Diceros bicornis minor: one gene and its partner. The protein of the gene in region 1 interacts with the protein of each later gene in a biochemical or structural test. Links are inferred from orthologs where the notes say so. Each region holds a gene or a part of one and is shown in the gene's direction. Other genes may lie near its edges.

What was found. The genes of interacting proteins can lie anywhere in the genome.
Region 2: the proteins of PAFAH1B1 (region 1) and DCX form a complex in vitro, tested with the Homo sapiens proteins (2 studies listed by BioGRID). The link is inferred for Diceros bicornis minor from reciprocal best matches to the Homo sapiens genes PAFAH1B1 and DCX.

Annotation. Positions count from the first base shown.
Region 1 is NC_080757.1:15,310,153-15,313,899, reverse strand, and holds the start of PAFAH1B1 (platelet-activating factor acetylhydrolase IB subunit beta), read left to right. Parts: upstream 1-837; 5' UTR 838-1,199; intron 1,200-1,752; exon of another isoform or gene 1,753-2,034; intron 2,035-3,747. UniProt on the Homo sapiens protein: Regulatory subunit (beta subunit) of the cytosolic type I platelet-activating factor (PAF) acetylhydrolase (PAF-AH (I)), an enzyme that catalyzes the hydrolyze of the acetyl group at the sn-2 position of PAF and its analogs and participates in PAF inactivation.
Region 2 is NC_080781.1:103,378,584-103,382,330, reverse strand, and holds the start of DCX (neuronal migration protein doublecortin), read left to right. Parts: upstream 1-894; 5' UTR 895-944; intron 945-1,062; exon of another isoform or gene 1,063-1,125; intron 1,126-2,670; 5' UTR 2,671-2,692; coding exon 2,693-3,056; intron 3,057-3,747. UniProt on the Homo sapiens protein: Microtubule-associated protein required for initial steps of neuronal dispersion and cortex lamination during cerebral cortex development. May act by competing with the putative neuronal protein kinase DCLK1 in binding to a target protein.

The DNA of each region.
Region 1 (3,747 bases):
AAATCAAATGTCTCTGTGTGGAATAAATTGACTACAAATCCCCAAGACTTCTTTGTCATCAGTATTTTAACTCATATTTTAGCAAACACACACACATGCCTTGTCGGGATAAAGTTCTAGGTCTTTCTTTGCGCATCAGTTTCGAGACTTCGAGTCTCAGACGTGTGTGTGACTAAGGAAAAGAATAGCTGAATCACATCTAAAAGCGAATCTTCCCAGTTAAAAATCTATAGGAAAAATGCAGACAATTTGGCACTCCATCGGCCTTTTAACCTCAACAGCTCTTCTCCCCAAGTCAACCCAACCCACTCATCTCCCCTTACCCACCCCCTCAACTGGGAAATAAACCCGAAGGCTGGAGGTAGGAGGGACGACGCCCTGACCCGGGCTCCGCTTTATTCTGAAGCCTATCAGGGCCCGGAATCCACGGGTGCCAACGGGTCCCTGCTGTTTGGCCGGGGGACGCGGGGAAAGTGCCGTTTTCGGGCAAGAGCAGGGAGAGGAGGTGAACAGAGCTGGAGTTCGTGAGGAGCCACAACAGTGAGAGGACGGTCTAGAAAAGGGAGTGGAGAGCCTTTTTCCAAGGTTACAGAGGCAAGCCGAGCGCGAGGAGAGCCTCGTGCGCAAACTCGCCCACCGGCCCCTCGGTACCGCCAAGCCGCACCAGCCACCCGCCCGCTAAGCGGAAGGCAGCGCGGCTCAGGGCCCGGCCCAGGCCGGCGCATGCGCCGCAACCCCTCCTCCGCTCCCGGCCCCCTCCCTTCCCTCTTCCCGGCGGGTTTGGGGCGGCGGCGGCGGCGCGGTGACGTCAGGGCGTTGGGGCAGCTCCTGTGACAGACGGAGCTGGAGCGGCGGGGCGGCGGCGGAGTCCGGCGGCCGAGATAGCGAGTGAGCGAGCGAAGGAGCAGCGACCCCGGGGTCCAGGGAGCGAGAAGGAGAAGGAGGGGAGCGCTCGGGCGCGAGCGAGAGAAACTGCGAGCGCCGGGCTTGGGCTCGAGCCCCGGAACGGCTGAGGAGCCCGCCCGCTCCCCTCCCCTCCCCCTCCCCGGGACCGGGCCCAGGCCCAGCGCGCCATCCTCCCCCTCCCTCCTTCCCTCCCTCCCTCCTTCCTCCCTTCCCTCTCCCTCTCCCCCTCCCCCGCCGGTGGATGGGAGTGAAGGACGGAAGAGGCCCTGCGGAGTCGGCGGTGCAGCGCTCCGGTAAGGCGGCTTGGGTCTGCGCCCTCCCCTCTGTCTCCTCCACCGCGCTCGGGCGGCTGCGGGCCGGGCCCGGCGGCCTGACGATGTGGCTGCGCCGGTCCCCTCCCTCCCATTCTCCCCCTCCCCCTGCCGCCGCCTCCTCCTTCTTCTTCTCTCCTCGCTCTCAAAATGGCGGCCGCGACGGCCGTTGAGTGAGAGACACGGGAGGAGGGGGGACAGGCCCGGGAGGTTGCTGCCCTCGCTCCACTGCTCCGCGGCCCGGGTTCGGGGGGTTCTAGGGCCGCCGCGACTCCGTCCGCGGCCCTCCCCGAGAAGAGATCGCCCTCCTCCCTCGGTGACTTAGCAAGAAAAGTATTCTTGGGTAGGAAGGGCGTGGAGAGCAGGTCGCTCTCTGATCTTGGGGAAAGGGTTCGGCCCTCGTCTCGCCGGCCGCGTAAGGCGAGCTCCGCAGTCCCCACGCCCTCCGCGGTTGGCGGCTCGGGGACCCGGCTCAGCCCCGCGCCGCCTCGGCACCCACAGGCCTTCGGGCGTTCCGTCCCCCACCTGTCCTTAGGATGAGGTTGACCTGAGGAGGATGGCCCACCCCTTCCCTGGCGCCCCTGTGCGGTGGTCCAGCCTCGATATCCGCTAAGGAGGAGCGGCCCGACCCACCGAACCATCTGCAGCATCCACCTACCAAATCAGGCGGGGTTTTCTTTTCTGCCACCGGCTCCTCAAACGGGAGTTGCCTTTTGACGTTGTAACAACTGAGCTTCGAGGCCCTCAGCCATTCCCCTTCATCTAATCTCATCTCCCGACTCCTTTAGGAAAGACAGTGCCTTCTGTAGCCTCCCAGGTGAGAAAATGCCTTTGAGGTGGTGGGCAAATTTTAACTCGACCTCTCGAAACAGAAGAGTAGAAAAGAGGAGGTTTTCAATGTCTGAGATGAGAGAGAGCAAGATGCCTTGGCGTTATTTGTTATTCTGCCTTTCTTCAGTGACTTAGCAAGAAACTCCTTGGAAGGAGGGCAGGAGATTTTCTGTTGGGGTTGGGATTTGGGTCCAATTTATATCAATCCTTTGGTTAAGAAATTGTGCTTTGAAAGAGAAGAACCAGATTTGTGGTCTCGTCCTCAATGGGCGATGTCATGCCAAGGTTCCCCCCTCCCCCTTTCCTTAAGAGGCCATTGAGAGAGAATAAAGATATTACTGTTGTTCTGATCGCTACTTTAACACACAATCCTTGGGATTCGTAACGTTTTAAATGCTAAACAAAAAATTTGTGCGATTTTTGGTAATTCTGTTTTTGTTGGGAGGTGGGTTGTTTTGTGTGAATTTCATTTTCAAGCTAGGGCGGAGGAGACAGTGCTTGGGCCTTTGATACCGGTAATGTCATCCCTCCCCTTTTGCCACAGTAGTATTTGCTTGCTTTTTTTTTTTTTTTTTTGCTGCAGCAAGGCTTGATGGCTGCGGGGTCCAGTCTCTTAATCAGGAAAATTTCCTGCTTGGATATGTCAGTAGTGATATAAAGACGAATATATAAAAAGCCTTTACTTAAATTCTGATTTCGTTCTAAGGCAGTAGCTAGCTTTTAATCTCTCATGGGTATCTTTCAGGACACAGTTTTGCAAAATAATTGGCAGTTGCAAATTGCAGTTTTTATTAAAGCAGAAGAGTAATCTGTATTTAGAGTGGTTTATTCTTTCATGTTCTATTATAAATGATCATTGTTTGAATTGGAAGGAGAGGATCTCCTAAAACAAATTTGAAGCTGTTATTTTTTTATAAATCAGGGAAAGGAACCCAATTTTTCACAAAATATTTCTGTATATATTGATTTTTATGGAGCTAGCCCTATTTTGGTACCTCCCCACCACCACCTTTTTTTTTTTAAATGGGCTAATATTTGTGGATGCTGTGAACAGCCATTCAGCTGAGGAGACTGGGTGGAGTAAGAGAGCAGAAGCTGTGAAATGCTAGATTGCCCTTTCATAACATTTTTCTCCTGCTTATGTTTTGTAAGGTTATTTGATGCTAATTAGTGCTACAACAAAGGCATTTCTCTGTAGTAAATCTTAAAATCTCATGTTTTTAGTTTTCACCTTTTTGCAAGATAGATATTGAATGGTTAGGATAAAAAGCAATGTCCCTTTCCTAAAGCAGACACTTATTGTCTCTGTAAATATACATACACATATATATACACAGCCTTGTTAATGTTTTTTATTGTTTTAGTCAAGTAAGTGTAAATTAATGAATGCCAGAAATATTTGGCAAGAAATAGTAGAAATATTGCAAAAATCTAATAATGCTACAGATGTTTTCTTTTACTTTAGTTTGCATTAAAACAGTAAGTCTGATTTTTTAATAATGAACATCAAAGATGAATAAAAAAGGATAAGATAAATTGTGTTAAAGGCTCTTTATATAGACCTTTTCTCTTGTGTTGTCCCTTGAAAGGGACCTTTTTGTAAGGTTCTACCATAAGAGAGGATAGGTCACTTTAATGTCTTGTAGCAGGCACTCATGTGAACAGACATCTTCAAAAGAATGTCAAAATCATGTGGTAA
Region 2 (3,747 bases), on another chromosome or scaffold:
GTTTAAGATTGCTACATTTTAATGGCTGTAGCCTCAGTTGTGAGGGTGGGAGCGCACCTCTACTCTAGTCTCTCACTTTTCTCTTCTTTTGTCTTATAGTTCGGTTTGATTTAATGAATTCAATTTGGATGCTTCCTTGCTCTTATTATAACCTATTGGATATAAAGAAGCAAATTGGTAACAAATAGGTAGTTTGAGGAGAGAGCCATTAATATTTATCTTGTAGCCATCAGACTTACTTCACCTAGAAAGGTCTCTGGGTTGGTTTTGAAACGTTGCATATCCCATTAACCAAGTTATTATACCAAGCTAAAAGGTCTTTAGGATTCTTTTGCAGCTCCACCTTCCATGAAATTCTGGAACTCTTTTCCCTTATCTCGTCAGTTTCCTACTCCCTCTTAGTCTACTCCACTGATTTCATTTCAAAAACATCCAGTTGGATGCATGAATTAAAATGCCTTAAAGAATTTGCAGATTTGATTGTTTTCTTTCAAGAAGGTGAAAGGAAGAGAGCTAGAATTTCTAAGAAGACTGGTTTGACTGTCTGAGTCTGGCCCCCAGGCAGATTAGGCCAAGGTTTTGTTTGGCCAAGTGAAATTGCCAATTCCCTAAAAGAAAAGGCTAGCACATTGCTCAGTAGAGCATTCTGAACTTGCCTGTGCAATCTTTTTGCTACCCTGCAATTTCCTGTTGGTTATAAATGAAACCTTTCTAGCTGTTAACGCAGCCTGTGAGTTGAAAAAAAAAAAAAAGAGTGTAATTAATCATAGGAGGTTGGGGGATTCACTAAACCTGAGTTATAGGGGAGAACTAGACAAGGCACTAGGACCTAGAAGGCATCTATCCACCCTGGCAGGAATTTCTTGCTTGGAGCTCAGACAACAAAGGCATAGAGAGATTGGTTTTCTTTCTCTCAGCATCTCCACCCAACCAGCAGAAAACCGGTGAGTGGGGCTTTCAAGTGATTTTCAGGCAGAATGTAACAGATGTCAAACGGGAAAAGCACAAGGCAAAGTGCACGCTCTCTCTCTTTCTCTGCTTCTCCTTTTTTTTTTTTTTTTCCCCCTTTGCCTTATTCTATCGGATTTTTTCCTAAGCCTCTTCCTGGGATTTTCCTTTGGAAAAGTGAGTTTGGTGTTGCTTTGTTTTTACCGTGATGTTGATTTAGAATAACACCACCCCTGATCCTAAAGCAAAGCCGAGCTTTACTGGCATGCCTGGGGAAATGCTTCCTACTTGTCTTGAGGAGGTGGGGTCTCTCACCACTGCAGGTTGTCTGACAGAGACAACGCTGAGCTCAGCACAGGTCATGGTGACATTGGAAGAAAAGGGGGACCAAGCCTGGCAAAGCGACTAGGCACCAGTCCTCCTTTGTCCTCCTGGTCCCTTGCAAATATCTCAATGTGGCAATGTGTAGCAGCTGAGCCCTGCTTTCTTTGTGAGTCCTTTTATCCCCATCTGTGAGATGCATGTTAATAGTTTGGTTCCTAGGCTGTCACTACCTTTGCTAGCATTTGGAGCTTCTGTTGCATTTGGTTTCATGTTTTGATTTTTTTTCTTTTTTTTTTGGCTCAGCAGAAGGGGGGAAAGCAAATCTGACAGATGACCATCTTTTGCTTCAGCCAATGCACCTGGGCAATACAGAAGTTTGGGGTGAATTGCCTGCCGTGAGGGCAAAATGCCCCCTCAGTCAGGGTAGAAGTGCAGAACAATGAAAGGTGTGCTTGCTTCTAAAGGTCCCATATGCTGTTCAGGAACTCATTTAGGAATCTTTCGACAATTAAATTATTCCATTAAGAGGTGCGGCTGCATCAGTGGGGAGGAATCGAGTGCCTAAAAAAAAAAAAGGAAAGAAAAGAAAATGATTTTGTGACCAAATGGTAACGGGGGAAAGCAGAGCTAACAACTTGTTAACTAACGGATTTTTCTAATCCTTTTTTTCAGCTTATTGCTTATGAATGTTGGATAGCTGCACCAGCTTGGTGGGGGAAAGGGTTTGGTGAATAGCACAAAGATGCTGGCTATTCCCTGGAGGCTGTCCCTTTAAAGGAGAATCCTAGTTTATTCTGGGGGGAGGGGACACACACATTAGAGTAGAAAAAAGGATTTGGAATAAAATTAAAACACTCGCCTTCATAGTCATTTTACTGAGAGGCAAAGATTGCTTCCTAAACTGGAGATGCTAACGTTGGCTAGCTCCTTCTGTTCTCTTCAAGGAGAATTTTGTCAGGCTATGGATTCATTTACAACTGTTAGCCATGTGGGCATGTGCGAGGAAACAGATGCCAGTTTTAATGTATTTAGCCCGAAGTCACAATTTGATAGGAGCCACTGTCAGTAAGTCCCAAGATTTTAAGCTATTTCAAAATTCCTCCTGCTCCTCTGTTTGGAACAGTGCCAAAAGTGCCTCCTTCCCTATCACTCACCCCCAACCCCCACAACCAATAGCACCCCCCTAGCCCCTCCTTCTTCTCTATTAAGATCAATATTCCTGCAGGTCAGGGGCAAGCAGCAGATGGGTCACGGGCTTTTTTCAACCAGTTCTTTTCACAAGCAGCAGATTGCAGATCTGGATCTAGCTAATATTTGAATTCCTTTCGTTTTTTTTCCTCCTCACTCCTTTTTCTTTGCCTCTTTTCACTCTCCCCCGCCCCTTTCTACAACACTCAGGTCTCTGAGGTTCCACCAAAATATGGAACTTGATTTTGGACATTTTGACGAAAGAGATAAGACATCCAGGAACATGCGAGGCTCACGGATGAATGGGCTCCCTAGCCCCACTCACAGCGCCCATTGTAGCTTCTACCGAACCAGAACCTTGCAGGCACTGAGCAACGAGAAGAAAGCCAAGAAGGTACGTTTCTACCGCAATGGGGACCGCTACTTCAAGGGGATTGTGTACGCTGTGTCCTCTGACCGTTTTCGCAGCTTCGACGCCTTGCTGGCTGACCTGACTCGATCTCTGTCTGACAACATCAACCTGCCTCAGGGAGTGCGTTACATTTACACCATTGATGGAGCCAGGAAAATCGGAAGCATGGATGAACTGGAGGAAGGTAATTCAAAGAGTGGGTGGTGGCCCTTGGTGGGAGGTGGCAACATTGGTTCTGGTTACATTTCTTGGATTTCATTGACAGAAATTAGAAAATACATTTGTCAAAACACCAGGTTGATGCTTAGACTTCTGATTCTCTATGTATCGACAGAGCCAGTAGCCATTACCCTTCATGGCCTTCAGTCTCTGCTGGAGTGAAGTGTAAGATGGTGGTGATAATGCATTGTGCTTATCTGTCAGGGTTTACAAAGGAAAATCTGAATTGTGTCATTTACTCTAGACCTTGTTCATAATTAAGTAGCACTATCGAGGCAGACCATGAAATCATTATGGGCGTAAACTGAGGAAGGAAGTTAAGTTGGGTTAACAGAGAGAAAATATTATATCCAAATATCCTTTGAACGGCTGAGAGACTATTTGTGAATTGCAACTCATGGAAATATGCACCCTAAAAGCAGGACTTCCTGGACATATTCACAAAGGATTATACTTTTAGGTAAGTGGTCACTGCTCAGCTGTTGCTTCTAAAAAGCCCACTTCAGGGTGTGTCCCTAAGGCTGAGGTCATTGAGAGAAATACCAAAGAAAGCTGTAGGTATGTCTGGTATTTTAATAAAGACTATTCCTATTAGAATAGGAACTGACTAGCTGTACCTAAATCCCTTTAAATCCTCTCTAGATTTTGGTTTTGCA